Elephas maximus indicus: one gene and its partners. The protein of the gene in region 4 purifies or fractionates together with the protein of the main gene of each other region. This does not show direct contact. Links are inferred from orthologs where the notes say so. Each region holds a gene or a part of one and is shown on either strand. Other genes may lie near its edges. The genes, in order: SHPRH, SLF2, POLH and RAD18.

What was found.
Region 1: the proteins of RAD18 (region 4) and SHPRH purify together in Homo sapiens (affinity purification with western blotting; 3 studies listed by BioGRID and IntAct, with this or other methods). This does not show direct contact. The link is inferred for Elephas maximus indicus from reciprocal best matches to the Homo sapiens genes RAD18 and SHPRH.
Region 2: the proteins of RAD18 (region 4) and SLF2 purify together in Homo sapiens (affinity purification with mass spectrometry; 3 studies listed by BioGRID and IntAct, with this or other methods). This does not show direct contact. The link is inferred for Elephas maximus indicus from reciprocal best matches to the Homo sapiens genes RAD18 and SLF2.
Region 3: the proteins of RAD18 (region 4) and POLH purify together in Homo sapiens (affinity purification with western blotting; 7 studies listed by BioGRID, with this or other methods). This does not show direct contact. The link is inferred for Elephas maximus indicus from reciprocal best matches to the Homo sapiens genes RAD18 and POLH.

The regions. Positions count from the first base shown.
Region 1 is NC_064819.1:216,764,795-216,772,156, forward strand, and holds the start of SHPRH (E3 ubiquitin-protein ligase SHPRH), read right to left. Parts: upstream 3,002-7,362; 5' UTR 2,795-3,001; intron 1-2,794. UniProt on the Homo sapiens protein: E3 ubiquitin-protein ligase involved in DNA repair.
Region 2 is NC_064834.1:52,571,138-52,578,394, reverse strand, and holds the start of SLF2 (SMC5-SMC6 complex localization factor protein 2), read right to left. Parts: upstream 3,013-7,257; 5' UTR 2,834-3,012; coding exon 2,694-2,833; intron 114-2,693; coding exon 70-113; intron 1-69. UniProt on the Homo sapiens protein: Plays a role in the DNA damage response (DDR) pathway by regulating postreplication repair of UV-damaged DNA and genomic stability maintenance.
Region 3 is NC_064819.1:108,007,188-108,014,309, reverse strand, and holds the start of POLH (DNA polymerase eta), read right to left. Parts: upstream 3,011-7,122; 5' UTR 2,921-3,010; intron 2,557-2,920; coding exon of another isoform or gene 2,452-2,556; exon of another isoform or gene 1,867-2,451; intron 1-1,866. Other genes in the region: XPO5 (exportin-5), read left to right, coding at 2,452-2,556, 3,762-3,883, 5,139-5,211, 6,494-6,631, 6,765-6,947. UniProt on the Homo sapiens protein: DNA polymerase specifically involved in the DNA repair by translesion synthesis (TLS). Due to low processivity on both damaged and normal DNA, cooperates with the heterotetrameric (REV3L, REV7, POLD2 and POLD3) POLZ complex for complete bypass of DNA lesions.
Region 4 is NC_064838.1:33,902,191-33,909,314, forward strand, and holds the start of RAD18 (E3 ubiquitin-protein ligase RAD18), read right to left. Parts: upstream 3,006-7,124; 5' UTR 2,907-3,005; coding exon 2,856-2,906; intron 1-2,855. UniProt on the Homo sapiens protein: E3 ubiquitin-protein ligase involved in postreplication repair of UV-damaged DNA. Postreplication repair functions in gap-filling of a daughter strand on replication of damaged DNA.

The DNA of each region.
Region 1 (7,362 bases), on a different chromosome or scaffold from region 4:
CACGATTATGTGCAGTTTTCTATATGGACCACATTTTCACTGCCCTGCGATTAAATGTAAAAGACCTTTTGCTTGAAATGTTCTTTTCACTCTTTTCCGCCTATTACTGTACTAATCTTCCCTGGAGAGCCTTCCACGACCAGCCAAGTTGAGTTAGGGCCTCTCCTCCTTCTCCCAACTGTTACAGGGTTCTTAAATGACTTTGAACTACTTGAAAGCCAGGCAGGGAGAGTATCCTATTCAGTGTTATACCCCAATGCCAGGTCAGTGCCAGCATAAAAATGACATACTCAATACAGTGAAACGAAGATCTCTAATTCCCTGAACAACTTCCCTTGTTGTAAGAACTGAATGTACTTTACTCACACTTCTTTTCTGAAGAACTCTCGTTTAACTATACTCTAGAAGACTACCAAAAAACAAAAACAAAAACAAAAAAACCTGTTGCCGTCGAGTTGATTCCAATTCATAGCGACCCTATAGGATGAGTAGAATGACACCATAGAGTTTCCAAGGAGCACCTGGTAGATTTGAACTGTCGACCTTTTGGTTAGGAGCTGTAGCTCTTAACCATTACGCCACCAGAGTTTCCTAGAAGACTACAGATAACATGAAACTATTTTTTTTTTTTACTATTCCTGGCCCAGAATGAGAGAGAGTAAACTGACTGAAGTGTATCTGTTTGCTAGAAAACAAAGACAGATTGCTAGAAAAATAAACTGAAACATAAGTTAATAAGACAATACAACAAGTGGACATGAATTAAATTCAGATTTTTTTTCCCCAAACTATTGTCTCTTCATTAAAAGACACACCAAAATCCTGAATTACAATGAATTCCTGGAAAGTCTGGGCTTAAGCTGTGAAGGAAAACAAGGAGTATACATTTTGCCACACTGCTGTACCAATGTGTACTTCACCAAAAAAGGGAAAAAGAAACCCAAAGGACAGAGCAAAACTGCTCCATAGGGTTTCTAAGGAGCGGCTGGTGGATTCAAATTGCCAACCTTTTGGTCAGCAGCCAAACATTTAACCACTGTGCCACCAGGGCTCCAGGTATACCTTAGGCAAGAGAAATGAAAGAAACCCAAATCATTATTGATGGCGGAAATGCTCACTCAACAACACAGCATTACAACAATCTTTCCTTTTTCTGTAGGGATAACTCCGCAGATTGAGAGTAATTTCACCCATTGTTGTGTGCCATTGAGTTGATTTTGACTCATAGTGACCTTGTGTGACAGAGCTGAACTACCCCACAGGGTTTGCTAGGCTGTAATGTTTACAGGATCTCCAGGACTTTCTCCCAGGGAGCTGCTGGGTGCGTTCAAAAGGTCAACCTTTTGGTTTGTAAGCACTTAACTACTGTGCCACTAACCAAAAACCAAACCCATTGCCATTGAGTTGATTCCGACTCATAATAACCCTATAGGTTACTGCCCCACAGGTTTTCCAAGGTAAATCTTCAGGGGACCAGACTGCCACATCTTTCTCCTGTGGAGCAACTTTGGAGTAGCAGCTGGTGGGTTCGAACAGTCGACCTTACAGTTAGCAGCGAATGCTTTCACCACTGTGCCACCAGGGCTCCTGAATTTCATCTCTTGAACTCTAAAACAGACATTAGTCACATAAACTTGAAAAAGGCTCTCAACAAATGATTTAATAATTCTAAAAGTATAGCTCTTTCAAGTTGGTCCAAAGGAATACATAATATTCTCTGAAAAGCAAACTATTTCATTCCCTTCATCTGCAAGCTTACTGGTGCTTCTAAGCTCTAGAAAAAGCAGGTTTTCCAGCACAGACACACTTATTCCACTGCTGCTCACCGCTACTCTGCTTCAGCATGAGTGACCAGTCTTTTCCGTGACCATACAGATGTTGTGGATCCACTCTATTCACAGAAGTTTCATCTCCCACTGGAATAATTAAAAATAGTGGTTGTTGTTCGCTGCTCTGGAGTCACTCAAACTCAGGGCGAAGCCATGCACAACGGTAATGACTTTTAAATGATTTTATTTCTTCTCCGTTAAAGCCTCAAGCTAAATACAAGCAGAAGAACACCCAACACTGTGGATACTGTCAAGTCATTTGGAAAAAAGGCACAAGCTTAATGGTAATTTCTTACTAATACTGCTATTTGAGAGTGACCATCAATCATCAGACACCAGATCTTCATGGATAAACCTAGTAAGTACCTCAGCAGAAATGTAGTGCAAGGGTGATTCTGACGCGAATATAACAGAACTTTAAGCCACTCATTTAGAAGCCTTGGCCTCCCCTTTTACTACATTACAATCCCGCACACCAAGAAGCTAGGCGTCTAGCTTTTCTTTTCCCGCCTCCAGGACATTTCTGCGGCGAATGGAGACACCCACTCAGTTCTCTTCCAAAGGACTCAAAAGCGGATCGAGGAGTCGGAGCAGGGCTGTCGGCGCCGGATCGCTGCTAGCAGGCCAGGCAAACGAGCTACCGCTAGGCCGAGGAGCGCGACGAGGCCCCTCGGACACTCTGGTGTGGTCACTGGAACAAAAAACCGCAACCCCAATCCAAGGGAAGCAACACCGCCTCCTTTCCCACGGACCCCCGTCCCCAGCTCCGCCGGGGAGAGCTGTGGGATCGAGAGGCCCGCGCGTCGGGATGGGGAAGGGGTGGGGGAGACTCGCGCTGCGAATTCCGCTCAGCCTTTAGCTTCCAGTCCCCGGGACACCCCGAGTCCTCCTTCCGTGACCCGGGAGGCCAGAGATGCCTTCCTTCCCCAACCTCTGACCCCCGACCCTACCATCACCCACCCTACCTTGGCTGGTTATCCAAAACTCTTAGGTTTCTCAGCACCAACGCCCGGATCCCTCTAACGCCTTCGCAGATCCCGGAGTCGCATTCACCATCAAACAGAGAATCCACCCGGGGGGAGCACGCGCGCTTTAGGCTGGATTGTATTGGGGTTCCGGGAGCGCCCAGTAACCACTGCTCCCCGGTGCCGGGCGCGCGCTGGAGCGTGGGGTCAAGGCGAACGCGCACGTCGGAGGCGCCACGCCCCCTTTCTCCCGCGATGGCTTCAAGAGTCTCTTCTGCGCAAGTCCACAAGGCTAAAGCCCAGCTAAGGATGCAGTTGTAGTCTCGCGAAAGCGCTGAGCTTCGTCATAGCGTCTATAGGATTGGCTGGAACCACTAAGGAGGAGGCGGGGCACCAAGAGATGTGGGCGTGGCTTCCCGCCGAGGGCCCTGGGCTCGCCTTGGAGCGACAGGTGTACGAGGTTTGTGCCTGTGACAAAAAGGCTGAAAAACTTCTGTAAAAAGCTACCATTTTATTGCTTTTGGAAAGCAGCCACCTATTAAGTACGGATGAATCTTATCTCCCCCTAAAAAATGGTTTTTAAGAATTTCAAGATAAATGTAAGTAAAGGTTTTAAGATGAGAGGACAACTACCTGCATTGTGCTGAAGCTAGTCGTCGAGTGTATGTCCTTCCCTTCAGTGAGAGGCAGCCGCTTCCTCATAGAGGTAGACTTAGTTAACTCTGGAATAGTCAAGGGAGGCTTCAGGGCTAGGTGCCCGTAAAATGACCCCCAGGAAACATCAGCTACTCAATGTGAGTGCCACATAAGGACTCAGCATACTGCTGTGGAGGGGGACACCCCACAGAAGCACAAAGTAAGTTCTTGCCTAAGAGTAAACTCGCTTTAGTTGCAGATAGTCCAAGGTGATCCATATCCTGGGTAGGACACAACTTTACCACAGACCTCTAAGCATTTACATAAACTAAACCTTGTAAAAATCGATGCAATCAGTTACCTTATTCAAGGCAAGTTGAGGCAAGTTGAAAAAGTAGTCCTGTTGCGGGGAGAGTGGGCCAGGTGAGTCCCTCTTTGTTGGAAACCAGTCATTTTGCAAGTACAGGACATAATGGAAACTTTATTCTGAAAGTGTAATTTGAAACTTAGTATTTAAATGTATATTGTGCTGTAAAAGGTTGTCTTTGATCATTTTTTCTCACTTCTCACCACTGGAGAGGAAAATTGGGCCCATAGTTGGGTTGAGTCCAGCTGGTGCCAGGCAGAAATATTTTAAAAAAGAAAGAAAAAGTACTGGGTCATTTCATGTTTGCTTTCTTTGATTGGATTAACTCATCTCTATAGAGAAAATTATGGTAATCCTATGCAAGCTATTCAACACCAGATCCACTATGAGAGATATTTCTATGCACTGGCATTTAGTGGTTACAATAAAACAAAATTCTCCCTTTTGAATTTTCCAGTGGTATGTTGAATCCTGTATTTGCAGAGTGCCCTGTGTATTTGAAAATTTTCTCTATGGCGTAATAATGTTGAATACAGTATTAGAATTACCAGAACTAATTTCAGAAAACATGGTTTACATTTGCTTACTGACTCTTTAGAAGTTTAGATGTGAGACAGCTGTTCACCCGTGACACTGAGTTCATGCACCTATTAGATGCTGATAATCTAATGGCATTCCACACCTGGGAATCTATTGATCAGAAACAGCTTGTACCAGTGAACCAACCAGTTTTCAAAGAATTCAGCTATTTCTTCTTCAGACTATAAGTGTGAGGGCTGTCAGTTCACTTGCTTCTTGTGTATCTTCACTAGGCCAAACCTATAGATCCTGTTCCTTTGGGGGACAGTAAGCTTTATTCTAGCCCTAACTCGAGTCATCTTTTTTACAAATGAATGTTATAAGTTGTTCTCAAGGAGGGTGACTCGTTAAGAAGAAGTAGATGAGTTACTGCAGAGTTAAATCCTTTGAGGCCAGAAACTGATGAATTTATGTGTAGCAAAGATTGGTTGTTCCAATGGTTGTTCCAACCTACACAGTGGCTCTACAGAAGAAAGACCTGGTACTCGGCTCCCATAAAGATTGCTGTTGTTGTTGTTAGATGCCATCAAGTCAGTTATGTGCTCTGTGTACAACAAAATGAAACACTGCCCAGTCCTACACCATTCCCACAATCATTGCTATTTGAGCCCTTGTTGCAGTCACTTTGTCCATCTCATTGAGGGTGTTCCCGTTTTTCACTGACCCTCTACCAAGCGTGATGTCCTTCTCCAGGGACTGATCCTTCCTGATAACATGTCCAATGTACATGAGATGAAGTCTCACCATCCTTGCTTCTAATGAGCATTCTGGCTATACTTCTTCCAAGACAGATTTGTTTGTTCTTCTGGCAGTCCATGGTATATTTGCCAACACCATAATTCAAAGGCATCAATTCTTTGTTCTTCCTTATTCATTGTCCAGCTTTCACATGCAGATGAAATGATTGAAAATACCATGGCTTGAGTCAGGCACATCTTAGTCCTCAGAGTGACATCTTTGCTTTTTAACACTTTAAAGAAGTCTTGGGCTCCAGATTTGCCCAATGTAATATGTCCTTTGATTTCTTTTCTGTGCTTCAGGTGAAAGTTTACAATTCAGGTTAATTTCTAATACAAAAAATTATATGCATGTTGTTATGTGACATTAGTTGCAATCCCTGTAATGTGACAGCACACTCCTCCTTCCCACCCCAGGTTTCTTGTGTCCATTCAACCAGTTCCTTTCCCTTCCTGCCTTCTTATCCTGCTTCCCTGACAGGAGCTGCTCATTTGGTCTCCTGTATCTGCTTGAACTAAGAAACACACTCTTCATGAGTATTATTTTATGTTTTATGGTCCAGTTAAATTTTTGAAGAGTGGGCTTCAGGAATGGTTTGAGTTCTGGGTTAACAGAGTGTCCAAGGGCCATGGCTTCAGGGGTTCCTCCAGTCTCAGTCACACTGTTAAGTCTGGTCTTTTCCCATGAATTTGAGTTCTGCACCGCACTTTTCTCTCACTTTGTCAGGGACTCTCTGTTGTGTACCCTAACAGGACAGCCATTTTTGGTAGTGGGGCACTATCTAGTTCTTCTGGCTGATGGAGTTTCTGGTTTATGGGGTTCTTTTGTCTCCTGGGGTAATATTTTCCTTGTGTTTTTGGTGTTCTTCATTCTCCTTTGCTCCAAGTGGTTTGGGACGAATTGATGCATCTTAGATGGCTGCTCGAAAGCTTTTAAGACCCCAGATGCCACGTACCTAAGTGGGATGCAGAACATTTTCTCAATAAACTTTGTTATGCCAGTTGACCTAGATGTCCCTGAAACCATGGTCCTCAGACCCCAACCCCAGCTACTCTGTCCCTCAAAGTGTTTGGTTGTGTTCAGGAAACTTCTTAGCTTTTGCATTAATCCAGTTTTCCTGACTTATGCTGTATTGTGTGCTGTTCTTCCTTTCACTTAAGCTGATTCTCGTCTACTGTCTAGTTAGTGAATTCCCCGATCCTTTCCTCCCCACCCTCGTAACACTCAAAGAATGTTTTCTTTCCTGTTTAAACCTTTTCTTGAGTTCTTATAATAGTGGTCTCATACAATATTTGTCCTTTTGTGACTGACTGATTTCACTCAGCATAAGGCGCTCCAGATTCATCTGTGTTGTAAGATGTTTGGTTGATTCATCATTGTTCTTTATTGTTGTGTAGCATTCCATTGTGTGTATGTACCATAATTTGTTTATCTATTTGTTGATGGGCACCTAGGTTCTTTCCATCTTTTTGCTGTCACGAGCAGTGCTACTATGATCATGGGTGTGCATATATCTACTTGTGTGATGGCTCTTATTTCTCTAGAGTGTATACTAAGGAGTGGGATTGCTGTATTGTATGAAACTTCTATTTCTAGCTTTTTAAGGAAGCACCCCCCTACATGTCTGTCAGTTTGCCATACTGTGGGAGCTTGTGTGTTGCTGTGATGCTGGAAGCTATGCCACTGGTATTCACATACAGCAGAGTCACCCATAGTGGACAGAATTCAGCTGAGCTTCTAGACTAAAACAGACTAGGAATAAGGACCTGGCAGTCTACTTCTGAAAAGAATTAGCCAGTGAAAACCTTGTGAATAACAGCAGAACATTGTCAGATGTAGTGCCAAAAGATGAACCACTCAGTTTGGAAGGCAATCAAAATATGACTGGGAAGGAGCTGCCTTCTCAAAGTAGAGTCAGCCTTAATGAGGTGGATTGAGTCAAGCTTTCAGGATCTTCATTTGCTGATGTGGCATGACTCAAAATGAGAAGAAACATCTGCAGACATGCATTAATAATCGGAATATGGAATGTACAAAGTATGAATCTAGGAAAATTGGAAATTGTCAGAAATGAAGTGGAATGCATAAAGATTGATATGCTAGGCTTCAGTGAGCTGAAATGGACTTGTATTGGTCATTTTGAATTGGACAGTTATATGATCTACTATGTCGGGAGTGATAACTTGAAGAGGAATGGTGTTGCATTCTTTGTCAAAAAGAACATTTCAAGGTCTATCCTAAGGTACCA
Region 2 (7,257 bases), on a different chromosome or scaffold from region 4:
TTTAAAAATTTAATCCATCCCCCTCTTCCCAAAAAGACCCAGCAAGAAATACATTAACAGCATACATACCTTGTTTTGAAGCTGGTTTGAAGAAATCTGTAATTGACTGATTTCTGAAAATAAAAGCATAACTAACATTGTATCACATAGGCAAATATTAAAACCTCAGTAATTCAGATTAAATGGCAAATGCGAGTCAGATTTATAGAATACAGGCTGGATTTCATTATCTGGTTCAAATAATCAAGTTCTGAAAATAATGCTTTGCTAAGCTGATTATAAAAAACTGAAAATATGATTCACCACTTCCTTCAGGAGTTCATTTATACAAACACAAAAATCCAAAGAGCAAACTCACTGCCCTCAAGTTCATTCCAACTCACAGCAACCCTATATGCCAGAGTAGAACTACTCCATAGGGTTTCCAAGGTTGTAAATCTTTATGGAAGCAGACTACTCTAACTTTCTCACTCAAAGGGGCTGGTGGCTTGAACCACCAACCTTCTGGTTAGCAGCACAAATGAGGCTTATATAATCTATAATGCTAAAATGATAAGACTGGACCGTGGATTCAGGGAATTGGTAGAGTAGTGCTTCTTAAGACTGAAAAGTTCACTGCTATGTGGTAGAATGAAGATCTTAAGGACAGGGATCTGATCCTATTCCTTAATATCGCCAAAGCTTGGTATAGTACAGTGCTCAATAAATGTTTGCTGAATGAATAATGGAGATTATCAAAACTGAGTGACATCTGAACAGACTCTCTGAACAGGAGTGAGAGATGAACACAAAGTGAGATAGGAACATATTACCAAATTTGTATTTTGATTTGTTCATGTATTTAGAGTTATTTGTCAGTTGCATATATGGGATGTTATTACATGGAGAGTGAAAAAAAATTACTTTCCGGCAAATTTTTCTAAAATCTATTCGTTCTTACTGAAAGAGGATAAGCTGCTGACTATAGATTTCCCTAAACATTTATTTACTGTGAGGTTGGAATGCGCAGAGAAAACTTAAACAATCCAAATCCCTTGAAGGTTAAGCTTTTTTTTTTTTTTTTTGAAGGTTAAGCTTTTTCTACATCTTGTACGTTTTACTGGTTACATTAGAAGAATAATGCCCATCTTTACTTAGAATCCACAATGTTTTAGAAGTTGGAAGAAAAGCTAAGTGGTAAGAAATGAATCCACAATGTTTTAGAAGTTGGAAGAAAAGCTAAGTGGTAAGAAATGAATGAGTGACAGGCTAAGGAAGTATCTGTGCATTTGTTCACATAAAATAAATTGTATCTGGCAAATTAACTCCAAGAGTAAAGGAAGAGGTGCTACGGGTCCTTTTACGGGTCCTTTAGAAGGAAGGATGAGGCCTTCCTGGTTGAGGAAACAGAGGTGGGAAAGAAGAGAGAAGCAGCTAATTCGAAACAAGATAACAGTATGTTTTTACAATAAGTACTAAGTACAATACTATGTTTCTTCCCTGAAACATTAGGTATTAGACTCCTTTTCAATACATACATCAGAAAAACAAAAATGATTTTGAGTAAAACAAGAAATTTGTTAAAATAGCCATCAATGTAGTTTTCAGGAAAGAAGAGTTATGCAAGTTCATGTGCACAGAAATGTCCACTACGTTTTTATAACTGTTTTTTTTTTTTAAACTAATTATTTACAACAGCTTCACAAACCCTTATCTGAAACTTCTGGGGCCAAATTTGTATTAGAATTCTGAAAGTACCACATTTTAGAAAGGGGTTATTATCTTGGATGTATCCAAGTACATCCAAGTGGGGTGTGGGGCTGCACATTCAGACTCCCCAGTAAAACTTAGAATATTCACACTTCATGTGATAAAGACCATAAATAGCCTTACATCAACTATAGTCAGGTTAAGCTGCCAAATGAGGTTTGGTGCCAAACTTACTGAAAAGTTGATTTTCATAGCTTTCTGAATTAAAATAAGGCATTGTGGACCTGTACAACAATATTAGAACATAAATTTACTGTTAAATTTGTCACAAGCTTTTAAACTTAAAAAGACAGAAAAAAGTGCATATAGAATTTAAACACGTTTTATCGACACAGGATGTCATTTGATAAAATTCTCCATCTTATTACACATCTCTCACAAAGTTGGTTCACGAAATCTTTACAAAGAAATTGGCCTCTAGAGAGGCTGAAAGTTACTGGAAGAGAAACCATATCACGTTCCTAAACCTATATGTTAAGTATAAATTATCGTGTACACTGGGCTATATAGATGTAATTCGTGGAAGGCTTTCCTCATTACACCTGACCTAACTTCACCCACAATATAGAAAAGTTTTATACTGTTAAACCACTAGGACCAGTAAAACCGACAATGTAGAGAAAAAGACCTAAATATGCATCAGGCAGTTAGGGCCCCGAGTCAAGCTATCGCAAAGCACAAAAACCACGGTCTACCTAAGGCGAGTTCTCCGTAGCCACCCAGGCTCCCTGGGGTCCTAGACCCAAACAGCTCCGCAAGTACAAAAAAAGAAACTCGTAGTCCCAGAAGCCCCTGCGCGGACGCGGGGCGGGGGTTTGCCAGGCCCAGAACGCAAGGCCTGAGCTCGCGGAGGATGGCGGGAACTGGAAAAGCGGCCGTCCTCAATCCTCCCTTATACCCTTGCCCCCGCGACCCGGCCCCTTCTCAGCCCCTCTGCACGGTACCTGTCCCCAGGACTCTCTGTTGTCTTTTCCGCTGCAGCAGGGGCGGTACTGCCGGGTCTCAGGTGGCAGCGCGGGGGCGACGACCCCGGGGCTGGGGATGAGGGGAAACCTGGCCTAGTGGGCATGCAGCGCCTTGTCATGTCGGCGCCGCTGGCGACGGCGGCATGAGCTGGGGCAGGCGAAATTGGGTGCGTGGTTGCCGTCTTGCTGCTGGGACTCAGAGAGGCTGTCGGAGCAGAGGTGGGCGGCACCCCCTTCTCTCTTCATGGCGGTTCTCTCTCTTCGGAAGTGACTCCGGTGTGAGCGGGAAGGAACCTGAGGACCAGGAGGGGGCGTGTCCTACTTCAGGAGCCGCGTCCTGATTGGCTGACGCAGCGGCCATTCCGGTAGTGGAGCAATAGAAAGCTCAGCTTCTCAGGGGAAGGTGGAGTTTCGGAAAGGAGGCGGGGAGGAGGAAAACTGCCCCTCCCGTCCCGTCACGTGCGCGGGGGGCGCGCGCAGCCGAGTCCAGGCAGCGTCGGCCTTGGCGGGCGCGCGGGGGCGGGAAGACACAGGTCCATGGGCGCTGCGGCAGCCGGAGAAGCTCGCCTAGGGGAGGTCGAAGGGCTAGGATTGCAGAAGCAAACCGACCCGGCCAACTGCTGTCGGTGAGGATGGTCAACGGTTGGGCTCCCTGTGCCGCACAAGTGTCCCTCAGAAACCCCCAGCTGTTCATTACATCGCTTCTTAAACATCTTAGGCCAAAGTGCCCTAATGCTGTCACCATTTTCTCAGTAGTCCGTACAGCCGAATCTGAAGACTTGCCCATTATGTGGGCGTTCTTGTTGTTTGTGGTAGATTTTGCTCTTTCGTTTAAAGAAAGGAAAAAAAAAATTATTGAAATAAAGACCGTTTTTATCCCATAAAAGCATTTTTGTTTCTCAGCTGCTGAAATGAGTTATCCATAAAATCTCTGCAACCAGGTTCCATGGAGGTCCATAAAAGGAACATAGGGTCAGCTTTCAATTACTCATGGTAAGTGTGAACAGCATAGATTATTGAAAGCCTCCTGCAATCTCCAGTCCACCTTCCTAAAGGGCTTGTGCTTTGGAGGCTGTTAGCCAAAGAGTTTTCCTTATTAGATGAGAGACTGGTCAGATTATCTCTGTGCCTCAGTTTCCACATCTCTAAAGTGGATATAATACCCACTTTCCTGCATGATTGTAAACCATAATAGATAAGCAATGTGAACTGCACAGTTTAGTCTCGTGTAACAGGCACTCAGTACATTATCTTTCTTTTGGTCTCAAGACAGACTCTTAGGCTGAGTTTAGCTTCTTGTACATACTCCCAGAGACAGGTCAAATACTACTACCCCAAAACTATAAAAACCAAAATAGCAATCTCAAGGATGCCCAACCTCTAACTGACAAGCTTGTTCAACCAATTAGGATGGAACAAAATCTTAAATGACTCGAAAGAATTTGAACAGGCCTTTAAATTTTATCATACGAAGATTTAATTGCTTTGGTTGCTAAGCATGCCTGGCTGACCTGAACTCCACCTTCTTTCCCCTCCTTAGTATCCCTTAGACTCACTGCGGTCGAGTCAATTCCAACTCATAGCGACCCTATAGGACAGGATAGAACTGTTCCATAGGGTTTCCAAACCTGTAAATCTTCACTGGAGAAGACTGCCACATCTTTCTCCCATGTAGCAACTGATGGATTTGAACCATGGACCTTTTGGTTAGCAGTCCAGCACTTAACTGCGTCACCAGTGCTCCTCTCATTATCCCTCAGGAGGAAGAGTTAATGAGTAGTAAAGTGGCCAGCGGAGCCAAGATGGTGCAGTGGTTAAGAGTTCAGCTGCTAACCAAAAAGGTTGGCAGTTCGAATCTACTAGCAGCTCCTTGGAAACCCTATGGGGCAGTTCTACTCAGTCCTGCAGGGTTGCTGTGAGTCGGAATTGACTGCAATGGGTATGGGGAAAGTGGCCAACAGGCTGGCAAAGTGGAAGGTGGATGGTAAACAGTGAACATACAGGTCTCTCATCCATCCAATAAGTTTATTGAGGGCCTCTGTGCACAGCTATATATTCTAGTAGTGGTACAAGAAAGGAAATACCAAAAAAAAAGGCGCTTTTCTGCTATCAACTGAGAATTTACTATACCTAGCATTGTTCCTTACATAAAAAAGAACATAATAGGTGCTCAAAATGTGTCAAATGAATAATTTATGCATTGATTTAAGGGCTTTTCACATGTATTATTTCCTATCTTGATTTTGTGTTTTCTGTTTGATGTTTCTACACTAGGAAGTTCCTGCTTCTGTAACAGAGCACTTCTGTAAAACATTTAATCTGATTCGTTTCATTGCCTGCTCAGTCCCTACAAAGAATAGTGCATAAAAACACGTTCTGCATGATCAATTGGTTGCTTTTCTTGAATTACAGTATTTGAATCATCCGACCTCCAAGGTATCACTTTAGAGCCTATACTCACAATACCAAACAATAGTTTTCACATTTTCTTAATCTAAGCAACAGATTAAGGAGTTAAGTGAGGCAAGAAATCCCTTGATCAATAAATGGAGATGGAGTCATAATGAAAACACAATTTTAAAAATCTCTTCTTAACAGGGAAGTAGTTATCTAAATCCTCAATAAGTATCAAGGCTTTTCTTTGTCTGAGATAATACAGACTTGGGTTTCAGGGTGAGATATGCTCAACATACTAACCAGAACTGCTGGCAGCCTCTATGCACCCCCCACCAATATAGTGTCGGAGAGTCTATTTTGTGTATATACCCCTCTTCATACTTTAAATGTGTACATATATACCACAAACATAAACACACGCGTGTACACACACACATCTGGTTTATGTAAGGGTTTTTTTTTTTAAACACATATTTGTAGTGGGCCAGAAATAGATGGCCAGGAAACTGTATACTAGGTGAAAGATGTTAAAAGGGCCCAGGTATGGACATGAGCAAAGAAGAGGGTAAAGTAAAACAGGTGGAATGAGGGGGAAGACAACAAATAAACAAGACTAAATTAGAGGCTTAAAATGAGACCTCAGCCAGGATCAGAAAGATAGTTCAGAGCAACTAAGGCTAGATAACTATAAAAGGCTAGTTTTGGGAAGATTTCTAGGCATGGGAATACGGAAGCAAAGACCACAAGGATGGAGTGGCTTCTAGGGATGAAACTTCTACTGGGTACAGTGTGGCTCAGTTTAGCACCCTGAATTGTTAAAGAGAAAAGGAGGAGAGCAAGCTTGGGCCTTGATGGGAAGGGATGGGGCAGCAGGAGAAACAACGTTACATGAACAACAGTTTGCTGGGAAAATCCCGCCCAAGGTGGGAGTACTGAGAGGAGTGTAACGGATGTCAAAGATCCAGGCGGTTACGTAGAGAAAAAAACAACTTGGGCAGATTGGATGGAGCAGTACTTTAGAGCTCAGCAGGCTGGGACTAAGAGAACAAAAGGCTAGTTAAGTTAGGAAGAATGTTACAAGAATAGGGAACTCTAAAAGTAACTTCTGATTCTGCAGTAATGACATATTTTTGCTCTGAGATTGCTGCGTTATGGTATAAACTCCAAGGCCTTGTTGGAGAGTACTCTTGGGCAAGCCAAGGGACAAGGACCAATTTGTGGCAGAGTTGCGGGAAGTCAAGAGTCTGTGTGTGTGGAGGTGGAGGTAGAGGGTGACCTGGGAAGGGGAATAAGGAACAGACTCAGAGAAACAGGAAATAATTAACTCAAAAGCCTAGCAGAGAAAGACCATGTGAGGATTTAACAAAACAAAAAAAAAAGGGAAGGCGAGCTCACAGCCTCTCAAGATCCACACAAATCACTTTGCAAATGGATACTGAACTCAAAAGGGCCAAACAAGTGCTTGGAAAAGGCACTGGCTTGGTTTTAAGGGACTTCTGGGGAAAAGCCAAATATAATTAGTAAAAATGTGCAAGAGCAGATCTGATGTTAAGGAAAATAAGTTTCTCGTTATTTCGTTATGGAATGGTAGCAAGATAGTGTTTCCCATACTTCAGATACAGGGGTAACATCTTTGTGATTTTTGACATATCTGAATGTTTCTTATTATTTACTGAATATTTTTCTTTAAATTACTTTTTAACCTTAAATACATTTATTATTCTAGAAAAAAACTTTGTATTATTTCCGTAAGTAGAAAGTCAGTATCACGTCACTTTCCCAAAATGAGTGATAATTGTAAAACTCAATAACTAGTAAAATAAGCATTTATATATATTCCCAAATTTCTCCCGGAGTCATTCATTTACCAATGGTGGTAGGCCAAGATACTCCTTGTATGTCTGAAGTATGAGAAATGTTTTAGGAAATACTGGTTCTAGGGACTCAAGCCTGTAATCAGGTGTTTTTCATACTCAGGTAGCAATCCATTCAATAGAGGGTTTTTAAATTGATGTAATGGGTCACAGACCACATTAAAAAAAAAAAAAAGAATGGAATAGAGAACATTGGTGCACTGCAGTGTTGATTTGCAAAACTTATACTTCTTCATGTACTAATATATACATATATATTTATTTAAATACAG
Region 3 (7,122 bases), on a different chromosome or scaffold from region 4:
ATTTTTTGGCAAGCTTTTCTAAGTGTATCGAACCAGGAGTCTTGCCTTCCAGTAGGAGATCTGGGTTCAGTCTCCAGCTGGTGCACCTCAAGTGTCATTGGAGGCTTGCGTATTTCTATGATGCTGAACAGGTTTCAGTGGAGCTTCCAAACTAAGACACACTAGAAAGAAAGGCCTGGTGACCTACTTCTGGAAAATCAGCCCCTGAAAACCCTATGAATCACAATGGTCTGATCCAATTGTGCATGGGGTTTCCATGAGTCAGGACCACTTGTAGGCAGCTAACAACAAGGTAGTGTTCCCTGGATTTGTCACTGAAAAGTTACTATTTTTCCTTTTGTAACTAATGATCATCTTGAAGGAGATACTTTGAGACTATGATAATATCCTACTTCTCCTCAAACTTTCACCACTAATTTAACCACTCATCAGTGGATCTTGCTGTAATAATCATTATTGTAGTGTTCTAATGGTGATTTTCTACCCATTTATGTAAACTTTGAACACAAACAATACTGCACACTGTTCGCAGATACACACATAAACAAAGAAATGGATGGTAGTTGGAAGAATACACCCTACATATTTGAGGGAGGGTACAGACTAATGTTATCATCTAACATTGTTACTGATCTGGAAGAAGGAATAAAAGTAAAGCAGTGGCTCCCAAACTTTGTTGCACATTGGAATCATTTGGGAACTTTTAAATAATACCGATGTCTGGTTTCCACCCACAGAGATTCTAATTTAATTGGTATGGGGTGCTTCCTGGGCATTGTGATTTTTAAAAACTCCCCTGGGCATTTCTAATATGCAGCAGAATTTGAAAACCACTAACTTAAAGTAAATAAGATACCTATGGAAACAAACACCAGTAACTGATGATTTAAATTTGAGAAACAGGCTATACAGTTGAGCAAGCACCCAACTGTATTCTTAAAAAAGCCTGTAAAAAATTGACATACACCTTGAAAAAAAAGTGTCACACAATTACAAAGCTGGAACAAGTGGAAAGAGCAACAAAGAATGAAGAAAATCAGAGTATTCAAGGCATTAATTCCTTATAAATTCCTATTGACCACTCATCTAAAACAGGCAGAATGTGATACTTTAAACATGTGTAAGTTAAAACCACAGCATGTGAGAAATTTCTTTATTTTGTATTGGCTTTTATGTAGTACTGGAACAGATAATGCCTGAGTAAAAATAGTAAATGCATTGTAACAAAAACAGCACAGCCCAAAGTATCATATTAGATACAAATATCAGAACTGGAGTGTGCATAGGAAGCAGTGATTTAAGCCCAGTGAACATTTTAGTGAGTACAGAAACAGATATGCAGGCTTTAACAGATAATGAAGATGTTGAGGTGTTCAGTTTATGTATTTTGGTGGAGAAAGCAAGAGCTTTTTAAGGATGGAAAATGAAACACACTCTACCAAAACCATGCTTTGGGAACGAGAATTACGCTACTTTGAAATCGTATATATAGCAAATTGTCAATACCACACGAACCTTCAATAATTGTAATTATTCATCTTTAAATATCTAGAGTCATTCCAATATGTACAAAACAAGTTTGGTGCCTATGAAATGATGACATATCCAGGAAAGTAAGTACAAGTGAAGAGGGAGATTTAAGAGTTATAGCGAAAAATATTTTTTCTAAAAGAAAAATCCCCTTAGAGGACAATACCAGGGCCTTAACTACGTTTCTATTTTCACGTAACTTAGGCCCCCCCCACCCAAAAAAATTGGGGGGGGGGCTAATTTTGTTACCAGCCTCTGCTGTATCACAAAACCAATAGCCAAGGCAGCATGAAAAGTCTAAAAACATTGATACTGCACAATTCTAAACTCTCTTACCAGTGTGATAAACACCTGGCAGAACTGTCAACGGCGGAAGCCGCAGTTGCTGGGTTCGGAGTCCACTGGAAGGGAGATGAAAGGGTCTTGAATATCTTGTCGCCTTTCCAGGACCAGTCCAGTTGTTCGAGAGAGATCTATTCCCAGTGTCGACAGAGAAATGGGCCAAGGGTCGCGAAGGATCCTTGCCCGGGCAGGCGCCCGCACAGCCAGGAGTGTGGTTCAGCCAAGATCTAGGCGCTAAGCCGCAAGCCCTTCTGACAGATGATCAGACTGCGCGCACTCCGATAAGGACCGTTGACGCGCCTGCGCACCGCGACCCTTCCGTCGCCCGCTCCGCCCACCGCAGTAAACGTCACAAGGCTGCCGCCACTTCCGTGGGCGCGTGCGCACTGGCGGCTCGGGCGCGTGCGCAGCGCCGGCACCTTCCTGGCTCGAGCTTCAGCAGCTCACGCTCCTCCCCCCGTTCCCCATCCCCCAGCCCAGCGCGGCCCGGTACCAGCTTGTGGTGCCGCCAAGGGAGCCGTCCGTGCCTCGTGCTCTCAGGACGGCCGCGTTGCGCGCTGGCGGCGCGTGGCGCTAGCCATGGAGATGGATCAAGTGAACGCGCTGTGCGAGCAGCTGGTGAAAGCGGTGACGGTCATGATGGACCCCAGCTCCACCCAGCGCTACCGGCTGGAAGCCCTCAAGGTAGCCGGGGTCCTGGCGCCCCCGGGCCTGGTCCGAGACCCTCCCCTGACCCCGACTCCCCCGGCCCCGGTCCCCTGGACCTCCTTCCCCAACCCTTGGGGGGGCCTTCCCTGGCGGCGGTCCACGCCTCTCCCTCCCCCGCCTTCACTGCTCGCCGCGCTTGCCCTTCGTCCCTCCGTTTTCCTCACGCAGGCTGCGCTCCAAATCCCGCATCTCTTCGCCTTCCGGTGGCGCACGTGTTGATCCCGCCCCCAACACCAATCTCTTTCTTTAGAGTTTTCCCTGCACTAAACGTTTCGCTACTGATACACTCTCCTGATCCATCCTAACCAAGCTCCAGTCCACCTAGTACACCTTTACTTACATCCATACACCTCTCGCTGACCCCTCTTCTGTGTCTTGGGCATTTCTGGGCTAGTTCTTACGCGCCCCACGTTTTTTAGTGTGTGATAGTCTTGAGCAAAGATGAACTTCTACCGCTTACTTTGCATTTTAACAAGGGCACTTGGGTTTCCTGAAAGTAGTTTTCTTGAGTCCCGGATGCTTTGGTCCTGGTACTGACTCATGTGTTACAATTCCGGAATCCTAGTACAAATGGGGATGTTATTAGAAAAAGAGCTTATACCCCTATCAAACAATGTTTGTGAGCTCTGAGAAATGGCTGCTTAGAAAAAATATTTGTGCTGTATATATTTTAAGTGTGCAATTTCATAAAATAGCGCCAGTTGGAGGAAACTTTACAGTAGATGGATGTATGCGCCAGGGTTTGAAATAAAAAACAACTGGCTTCTATTAGTCTGTTTTTTGTTATGGAATATTTAAAACAGACATGAAAAGTAGAGATAATACTGCAGTGACTCCTGGGTATACTCATCACCTAAATTCTGTACTTTTAAGTTCTAAATACAGCAGGATTTGTTGACGTATAACAAATCCTAGAAATTGTCATTTCACTTTTATGTACTGCAGGGGTATATCGTTAACAATTTTTTTTTACTCCTTTAGGTCATTTTTTTTTTTTTTAATATTAGTAAGGCCGTACCATGGAAAATCTGGAACCATCAGAGTGAAAGAAATGTTTATCATTTCTTTACTCATACAGTAGTAATCTAGATTTGATCAGATTAGAATTTCTTAGAACGAAGCTTATTTAGTCTCCACACTGTCTTAACGCCCAAGAGAAACACTAACTTTTTATTTTTCAGTTTTGTGAAGAGTTTAAAGAAAAGTGCCCTATTTGTGTCCCGTGTGGCCTGAGGCTGGCTGAGAAAACACAAATTGCCATCGTCAGGCATTTTGGCCTTCAGATCCTGGAACACGTTGTCAAGTAAGGCATTTTACGAGTTTACCACTGAAGTATGTAAGAGAGCAAATCTTTATTTCTTGGATAACTCAGAGGTGTTCTTTAAAAACTTGTTGCCGTGGAGTGGATTCCAACTCATAGCCACCCTATAGGACAAAGCAGAACTGCCCCACAGGGTTTTCAGTGCTGTAAATCTTTATGGAAGCAGACTGCCACATCTTTCTTCCTTGGACTGGCTGCTAACGTTTCAGTTAGTAGTCACGTGCCTCCAGGGCTCCCTAGATGTTCTTTAAGTAAGCAGAATAGAGCATTCTTCAAGGGAAAAAGGAATAATACCCAGAATTATCAGATCCTCCAGGGAATTCTCATTCAAGACTGAACCTTTCTGCTCTTCAATTTCTTCATCCTGTAAAGTGCCTGCTACATACTAAGCATTCAAAAAATAATAGCTGCTAGTCACTCACCCAGCATTTATTGAATATCTATATATGCCGGCAGATCTCAAAGCCTCTTTAGGATTATACAGTGTATAAAACCCAAACCAAACCCAGTGCCATTGAGTCGATTCTGACTCATAGCGACCCTATAGGACAGAGTAGAGCTGTCCCATAGAGTTTCCAAGGAGCACCTGGCAGATTCGAACTGCCGACCCTGTGGTTAGCAGCTATAGCCCTTAACCACTACACCACCAGGGTTTCCATACTGCGTATAGATAAATAAATTTGTGATTGGACATTACTTTTGATTTTCTTTTCTTTTACGTTTTGAGTGTGTACCGTCTCTGAATGGCACTTCCAAAGCAATATTATATGTGAATAACTGAAAACTCCTCCAATGCCTATCACAGAAATCCATTTTTAAGACTTAGCCTCAGGTTTTCTGGAATTGTGCTGTTATTACCTTGTAAACCAGCGTAATAAGGTAGTTGGTGTTATCAGATTGTGTTTTCTGGAAAAAACGACTATATTGTAGTTGTCCCAGATGTATATTTGTTTTCAGTCTATTAATAAAATCATGGGGGAAGCTGATGTGTGCATAAATCCTATGTGAATTCCGGTTAATGGAGTGCTGTATATATAAACCCCTGGAATTTTTCTGTTTCTAGCATTTTGGTTAAATGTGGACTATTTTTGCCCATTCTTTGAAGGGTACAAAATCAAAAGTATAATTTTCTAATGAAATTGCCAACATAATCTAACACAGGAATCAAAACTAGTTTCTTCTGAAGAGAAGCCTTCTAATGGGTTCTGTTTCTGACTTTCTCTTTTTTGGTGGCCAGGTTTCGATGGAACAGCATGTCTCGATTGGAGAAAGTATACCTGAAGAACAGTGTCATGGAGCTGATTGCAAATGTAAGGAATGGTTGGTTGGAAGACTTGTGTTTCCAAGGTAGTTTAGACAAAACATGACTTCTTCAATTTAACATTTGCATAAAAATTCACTGGTTCTATGTAGGTCAAAGAGCATGTTTGGTGTAATGTTAAATGTGTACCTTTAAGGTAGAAGGACTACCATTAACAAGAAATCATAATTCATTACATTTAACCAAAAAATACCAAACCCAATGCAGTCAAGTCAATTCCCACTCATAATGCCCTTACAGGACAGAGTGGAACTGCCCCATAGGGCTTCGAAGGCTGTAAATCTTTACGGAAGCAGACTGCCCCATCTTTTTCCTGTGGAGCAGCTTGTGGGTTCAAACTGCCCACCTCTCAGCAGCTTAACCACCTTTCCATCAGGGCTCCCAAACTTCTCTTACTAGATTTAATTTCATCCCTTACGTGCTGGCTTCTGTTTTTAAAATATAAAGATAGGACAGAAGAGATTAAACATTTTCAGCAAATGAATGGATTCATAGGTTTAAAAGATTAAAACTTTGCTGTTTGTTATCTTTTATTCCAAACTGTACTGTATGATACTAGTAATAAAAATATGTAGAATGAATTGTTTCCCCAGTTAGAAGATGACTTTAAATGTTTAAAGTCTATAGCCTTTTTTCTTTCCTTTCTTTTAAACAAAAGGGTATGAAAGATGGAGTCCCTACCCCTTTTCATCTCCAAAATCTAGTGTCTTCAATAGAAAAAAAAAAAGCTTTTATAATTACTGATTAACTTATTTAGCTAATACTTTTTTAGTGCTGTTTCTGGGGCGACAATAGAAATCATACTTCCTTAGTCTTGACATTTTCAAACTTCAGAATAAGAGAAACCTAGTGATAATCTTTCTGTATCTTCTAATACTGTAACTGTTGGTAAAATATTAATTGCATCTCCAGACCCTCCAGTTTTAACATTCTCTCAGCATACTCTTGTTCCTTATTTCTATACTTTTCTGTTGTGACGCTCTCAAAAAATGAAACAATCTATATGAGAGTTTCTTCGTTTTGAAGGGAGAGCTGTGATGTCTTCCTTGCTCTTCAGCGGCATTTTATTAGTGGTACAACCCTCACTTAAGCTTTACGTGGGAAGAATGATTAGAGGGAATGCAGGGTAAGTGACTCAAACATGATGAACAGGTTTGTTTGTTGTACTTAGTTTAAAAGCAGGCCTGCTCATGAGTTTTATATACTTTTACAGCCCGGTGTTCCTTAAATTCGATCTTGCAGATCTCTCAGTATCTCTCATTCTTTTTCAGGGAACATTAAACATTTTGGAAGAGGAGAACCACATTAAAGATGTTCTGTCTCGCATCGTAGTAGAAATGATCAAGCGAGAGTGGCCACAGCATTGGCCTGACATGCTAATAGAATTGGATGCTCTTTCCAAACAAGGGGTATGAAGAATGGATAAATCAATTCAATATACTGTTCTGGAATCTTCAAATTTTTTATACTGTCTTTTTTTTGGTGGGGGGGTGAGAGTCAGCATTTTAATTTAATTTAACTAGCTTATTTCTGTTGGCATAGGAAACACAGACAGAATTAGTGATGTTCATCCTTTTGCGACTGGCGGAGGATGTGGTGACCTTTCAGACACTTCCCCCTCAAAGAAGAAGGGATATCCAGCAAACATTAACCCAGAACATGGAAAGGATCTTCGCTTTTCTACTTAACACACTTCAAGAAAATTTAAACAAGTACCGGCAAGTGGTAAGGGATACCCTACCCCAAGAAAGTCCTATTTCCTAACGTGAGTGGCTTTTTTCTTTGTTTTTTAAGAAACTAATCCTTCAACAAGGAGCTAGAGTGCCTGCTTTAGCAAAAGAAAAGGCCATTTTGTAAGTAAAAAAGAACCTGGTAGATCATGGGAAAAATGAATTAATTT
Region 4 (7,124 bases):
CTAAAAAGGAAAAGAGGGTGTTCCCCTATGTATTGATACGGAAAGATGGCCCAAATACGTAGTGAGGTAAAAGAAGTAAGCAAGGTGTAAGCAACACACGTGGTATGCTACCTTTTGTCCAAAGTATGGCGGGGTGGGGTAAGAATGCATTCCATTTTTATCTTACATATACATATAAAGAAATTCTGAAAAGATGCATAGGAAAATAACAGATAATGGACACTGGGGGTCAGAAAACTGCAGAAATGAGGGACAAGGTAGAGGGGAGGCTTCTACTTCTCATTTTATGTATTTCTTAAACCATGTTAGTATATTGCCTAAATTTGGAAAAAGTAACCAAAACGAAAACGCTGTTACTGATAGTACACATGAAGAAATTACATAACCATTAAAAAACACATTTTCAAAGAATAATTAATGCAATAGGAAAATGTTCATGTTTTGATGGAAATTAAAAAAAAATCAGAGACCAAATCAACAATAATACATAATAATGGTAATTATGTAGTTTAATCTTCATAACAATCTTACGAAGTCTATAGCATCAGTATCCCAAAACTGAGAAAGTGGCAGATACATTACAAAAAGTATTAAAATACTGGAGGGGGCTGGTTTCCCCACCTCAATATTCCGTGATTCAAATGTGAGCCCAATATGGGTTCAGTCAGCCCCAGCATTGAACACTCTCTGGTGCTGAACCCTGTATTTATTTATATAAAGAGCTGGAGTCTGGTTGGATTTATACACATATGTATACATACAGTCAGAGAAGACAGGGAAGCTGCCACTGGAGAACACTGTGGAAGTTGTGAAAACACATAAAATATGCTGAAGTCTACAAAGCCAGTAGATGTACAGGTTACAGAGCTCTTTGGCTTTCTCTATCTAATTCAATCTTCAAACAGCAAATAAAAAGGAGAAGGAAGGGCACAGAACTCATTAAATGCTAATAACAATAAACCCCAAAACCAAACACACCGTCATCCAGTCGATTCCGACTCCTGGCAACCCTTTAGGACAGAGTAGAACTGCCGCATAGGGTTTCCAAGGCTGTAAATGTTTACAGAAGCAGACTGTCACATCTTTTTCCTGCAAGCAGTGTTAAGTTTGAACTGTCAAATTTTGGTCAGCAGTTGAGTGCTTTAACCACTGCACCACCAGTGCAGGCTTCTGCTAATAGTAATAAAGATAAATTAATTCAATTCTTACTACATTTCAGATACCTTCAATCAGTCAACAAATAATTGTTAAGCACCCACTATATGCCGTGTTAACCACAATGAACAAAGCAAAAGGATCCCAACCCACATACATCAACTCGTTTAATCAATCCTATGAACTGTTTTCAGACAGCAGCGGTGGTTCAGTGGTAGAATTCTTGCCTTCCATATAGGAGACTGAGGTTCCACTCCAGCAAAGTCACCACCACCCATCTGTCAGTGGAGGCTTACATGTTTCTCTGATGCTGAACAAGTTTCAGCAAAGCTTCTAGACTAGGAAGAAAGGCAGGCCAGGAAGAAAGGCCTGGCAATCTACTTTCAAAAATCTGCCAATGAAATATGCATTACAACAGTCTAATTCCATTGTGCATGAGGTCGCCATGAGTCAGAGGCTGACTTGACAACAATTAAGAACAACATGAACTGTTCATTTTTGCCTCCAGTTTAGAGTTGAGGATACTGAAGCTCAAAGAGGTTAAGTAACTGACTCAAGGTCACAGTTAATAAGAGGCAAAGTCCAGATTTAACCCAGAACAATTGGAGCTCAAAATTTATGCTTTTCTCCACTCTATCTTGGCACCAAAGCCACCACAACTTCGAAACCACAGTTCTCCTGGATCCTTCCACTCTTTGTAGTGTAAAATGAGGATGTCTTAAGTCCCCAAGCACAAGAGATGACACTTGCTGACAGTAGGAAGAACAAGGTCTTATCATTATGCTAGCCTCCCCAAGTCCCTTCACTTGATCCTCAAAGTCAGTCTTACAAGTTAGAGGAACAGATACCATAATCCCCAGTTTACAAACGAGGAAAAGAACAAGAAAGTGATCCTCCCCACAATCACAAAGGTAAAAAAAACAAGCAACAAATGCTATCCAGCACAGCAAAGTGAACATGTTCTTGAGCAAATCTAGCAGGAATCCAGAGGTGATCAAAAACTGGTATGCCTTGCCAAAAAACAGGAAGTAGCCATAAAAATAAATGCTTATTTAAATGAAACTATCTTTTTTTTTTTTTTTAATCTATTGAAGGCTAGTGCTGAGCCTTGAGTCCTGATCTCTTTGTCTAAAAGAGAAGGAAATGAGGAATTGTTAGAGAGTTGTTAGAACATGGTAGGGAGGAATTAGGGCATATGTTAGCACAACCCAGCACGAAGCCTCTACAGAGTAATTAGAAGAAATGAAAAAGAATATAAAAGAGATTACCTGCTTCGTTACAGGATGTTATTCGATGCAGTGTCCTCACAAAATCATGTCCAATGTCACTTTGGTAAATTTTCAACTAGTGTACTGTAAGAGCTTATGGACTGCTTGGCACAAAGTAAGCCCTCTGAAAGGGTTAGCTGTCATCGTCGTTGTCACCGTTTGCAGTAACTGGTTTTTCTCGATGTCACTGTTACTGTTATGGCTGAACCGCAGAATACCCGGTTCCATAAGCCAACCTCAGCCCACCATGACACACCGAGGCTTGTCCTCGCCACTTCTCAGGGGAGGAAACTGAGGCGCAGAGGCACGCGGACAGCAAAAGGCAGAGAGGGTCGAAAACCCAGGCCCAGCTCGCCAACTCGTCCTTTCCCCTGACGCTGGTCCGGCCTTTGGCAGGCGCCTGGGCGCCCCCTCCCTCTCCGAAGCACTCACCTTCATGACTGCTAGGCCTGGAGGCCACTGGGGCTCGGCCAGGGAGTCCATGGTCGCTTCTGGGGAAGCTGGGGGTCCGCCTCCCACTGGTCTCCCGCGCTCCACGGCCACTCGAAATTCCCCGCGCTACTGAGCCACGACATCAGTCCACGACGCAGCTACGGCCTGCGCGAAGCCTGCCGGGAGCTGTAGTACGTGGGCGGGGCGCAGCCAAAGGTGCTCGCACTGCGCACGCGCCGGGGTTATGCCCTGCCTCTCACCGATGAAGGGGAAGGATGGGTGATTCAAAGGCTTGGAGACCGTTTTGTACCAGATCTTTGACAAATAGATGGCTATCGAATGTTAGGAAAAGGCATTCAGGAATCAAAATAAGCCAAATCCAAGCCTTGCCAAATCTTTCGAGGTCAGGCTTATCCCTCCTCCTTCGGGTCGCCCTCCCTGATTGCTGTATTGATCTGAGCCTGCTCTGAACAGGGGTTATCATATCCATTATTTCACGCCACTCCCTATCACAACACCGGGAGGTAGGTATTATCATTGTCAGTTTACACAAGAAGAAGATGCAGTCCAAAAAAGTGAAGTTTCCTTAAGTCAAGCAGTGGTATCGACCAAACTCCAAATCTAGCCTCTGGGTTTTAAATGTGAAGCTCTTTCTTTTACCTAAACGAAAATGTTCGTTTAAAAGTTAGTCCCGCTCTTTAGAGATAATCACTGTTAACTTTGGACTATGTTGTTGCTAGTTGCCATCAAGTTGGTCGACTCGTGGGGCCCCTTATGTATAACAGAAAGAAACTTTGCCAGGTTCCGTGCCATCTTCATGATCATTGGTGACAACGGCATACAGACTTCCGTGTATTTCCTATGCAAATATAAACATAGATACATTTTCCCCACAAATGTTATATTAAATGCATAACTCAGACAACTTGTTTTTCTTGTGTGCATTTGTTTCAGGGCTTTGACCTGTTCCTTCCAGTTGGAACCCTGGCTGAGAACGTGCATTTTCTAAGAAGTTCCCTGCTGGGAATTTGCATTTCCACCCCAGATATACTGAGTCAGAATCTACATTTTAACAAGACCCCAGGTGATTCTTATGTATAACTGCCTGGGAATTTGTTGGAATCACCTGGGGATCTTGTTAAAATGTAGATTCTGATTCAGTATATCTGGGGTGGAAATGCAAATTCTCAGCAGGGGTTTCAAACTGGTAGGAACTGGTACAAAGCCCTGGTTTGTTTGCTTAACCATACATCTTGAGATCTCTCCATGCTAGTACATATAGTTTACCTTATTCTTTTTAATAGCTACATAATCCATAAAATAGATGTACCAAAATTTATTCATCTACTCCCATATTGAGGTGTGATATGGATTGAATGTTGAATACTTAATCTCTGTACCTGTAAGTGTGACCTTGTTTGGAAACAGGAAGTTTTCTTTTAGAAGAAGAACGTGGCATCAGGATTGGTGGAAGACTCATTAACAACCTGCGGTATGCAAATAACACAAGCCTGCTTGCTGAAAGTAAAAAGCACTTGAAGCACTTACTGATGAAGATCAAAGACTACAAACTTCAGTATCAATTACACCTTAACATAAGAAAACAAAAATCATCACAGCTGGACCAATAAGCAACATGATGATAAATGGAGAAAGGATTGAAGTTGTCAAGGATTTCATTTACTCACATCCACAATCAATGCCCGTGGAAGCAGCAGTCAAGAAATCAAATGATGTATTGCATTGGGCAAATATGCTTCAAAAGACCTCTTTAAAGTGTTGAAAAGCAAAGATGTCACTCTGAGGACTAAGGTATGCCTGACCCAAGCCATGATGTTTTCAATCACCTCTCATGCATGCAAAAGCTGGACAATTAATAAGGAAGACCAAAGAAGAATTGGTGCCTTTGAATTATGGTGTTGGCAAAGAATATTGAACATACCATGGACTGCCAGAAGAATGAATAAGTCTGGCTTAGAAGAAGTGTTCTTTGGAAGTTAGGATGGCGAGACTTCATCTCATGTACTTTGGACAAGTTATCAGGAGGGATCAGTCCTTGGAGAAGGACATCATGCTTGGTAAGTAGACGATCAATGAAAAAGAGTAAGACCCTCAACGAAATGCACTAACAGAGTGTTTGCAACAATGGGCTCAAACATAGCAACAATTGTGAGGATGGAGGACTAGGCAAAGTTTTGTACTGTTGTACATAGGGTCGCTATGAGTTCGAACTAACTTGAGGGCACCTAACAATGACAACAACTTTTATTATGTTAATGAAGTCATACCAGCGTATGGTGAGTCATAAACCTAATCACTTCTGAGTTACAAAAAGAGCAAATATGTACATACAGACAGGAACACAGGGGGAAGAGGAAGACAGACTAAGGGGACAGATGCGTCTATAAGCCCGGGAGCTCCAGGGATTGCTGGCAGCTTCTAGAAGCTGAAAATAAACAAGGAAGGGCCTCGAGCCACACTTTGAATTCTGACTTCTACACCCCTGAACTGTGAGAAAGTAAATTTCTGTTCTTTAAAGCCACCCACTTGTGGTACTTCTGGTACAGCAGCACTAGGTAACTAAGACAAGGACGTTGAGATTGTTTCCAGTTTCTCACTATTACAAAGAGCTGCAGTGAACGCATTCACCTGTATAAACCTTGGCACACTTTTTCCAAGGTATCTGGGGGGTGATGTCCTAGAAATGGAACTACTCAGCCAATTTGTTGCTCTTTTAAAACTGTGATAGCTAGCAGTAAATAGTTCTCCAAAAAATTTCATACCAATACATTTACACTTTCACTGATAATATGAGAGGGCCTGCTGCCCACATGAGAAACACTGACCAGCTCAGTTTCCAGCCTGTCTGCTCAACTCAGCATTTATTTACTGACTTATGGGGACCTCTGTTGCACCATGTCTCACGGACAGCAAGTAAGAACAGATATTTGGCTAAGGGCAGAGCCCTGCAGCTTGTCACTGTCACCCTGTGCTTACCATGGGCCAGGCACTTGAGCTTTGTCTTAGGCTGGGCTCTCTAGAGGAGCAAAACCAGTAAAGCATGTAATTATATACATAGAGAGAGAGATTTATATCAAGGAAACAGCTCACGTGTTTAAAGAGGCTGGAGCACGCCAAGTCCATAGGTCAGAATAGAGGCTTCCCCTGATTCACATAGCTGCAGGGGCTGTCGAACTCAAGATCACCAGGTTGGAGAGCAGGGCTCTTGCTCACAGGCTGTGAAGGTCAACAAATCCCAAGATCAGCAGGCAATACTGCAAGCCTTCCCCTGATTCACATAGCTACAGGGGCTGGTGAACCCAAGATCAGCAGGTCAGAGAGCAGGACTATAGCTCACAGGCTGTGACGATCAACGAATCCCAAGATCAGCAGGTAAGCTGCTAGCTCAAGTCTGAGAAACCGGAGGTCAGATGAACAAGAGGCAGCTGTAGGATCCAGAAAGGGCAAAAGTTCGAACAAACATCCACTTATATTTGGATGCAGGCTACATATCCAAGGAAACTCCCTTTCAACTGATTGACTACTCACAGCAGATCCCATCATGGGTGTATTCACGTACGAACACTGAGAATCATGGCTTAGCCAAGTTGACACACAATCTTAACCATCACAAGCTTCCCTGTGAAGTAGGCAGAGGTAAAGTTGTTATAGTCATTCTACAGAAAAGGACACTGGAGTTCAGAGAAGTTAAGCCTTGGCTTCACTCCTTTGGGATCTTGTTGAAAGGAATCTCTGGCCCCTGATTTTTCCCAGCCTGTCTGCAAATACTCATTGGGTAATAGCAATAGTATACAGCATTTGCACAAAGGACTTCAACATCCATTACAATAGTAGCTGACATTTACTAGGTACTTGTATTCAAAGCAGAGTCCCTGGGTGGTACAAATGGTTAAGAATGACCTGGTAACCTACATTAACCATTAAAAACCCTATGGAGCACAGTTCTAATCTGACACACACACCCGTCAGCGTCCAGTCGATTCTGACTCATAGTGACCCTATAGGACAGAGGAGAGCTGCTGGCCCCATAGGGTTTCCAAGAAGCAGCAGATGGATTCAACTGCTGACCTTTTGGTTAGCAGCTATAGCTCTTAACCACCGAGCCACCGGGGCTCCCTGATACATATGGGGTCACCATAAGTTGGTATTGACTTGCTGATAACTGGTTTTCTGATTTGTTTTGTATGAAAAGCTCTGTTCTCAGTGCTTTTACACGTATTGATTTAAGACACACCCCAATCAAATGAG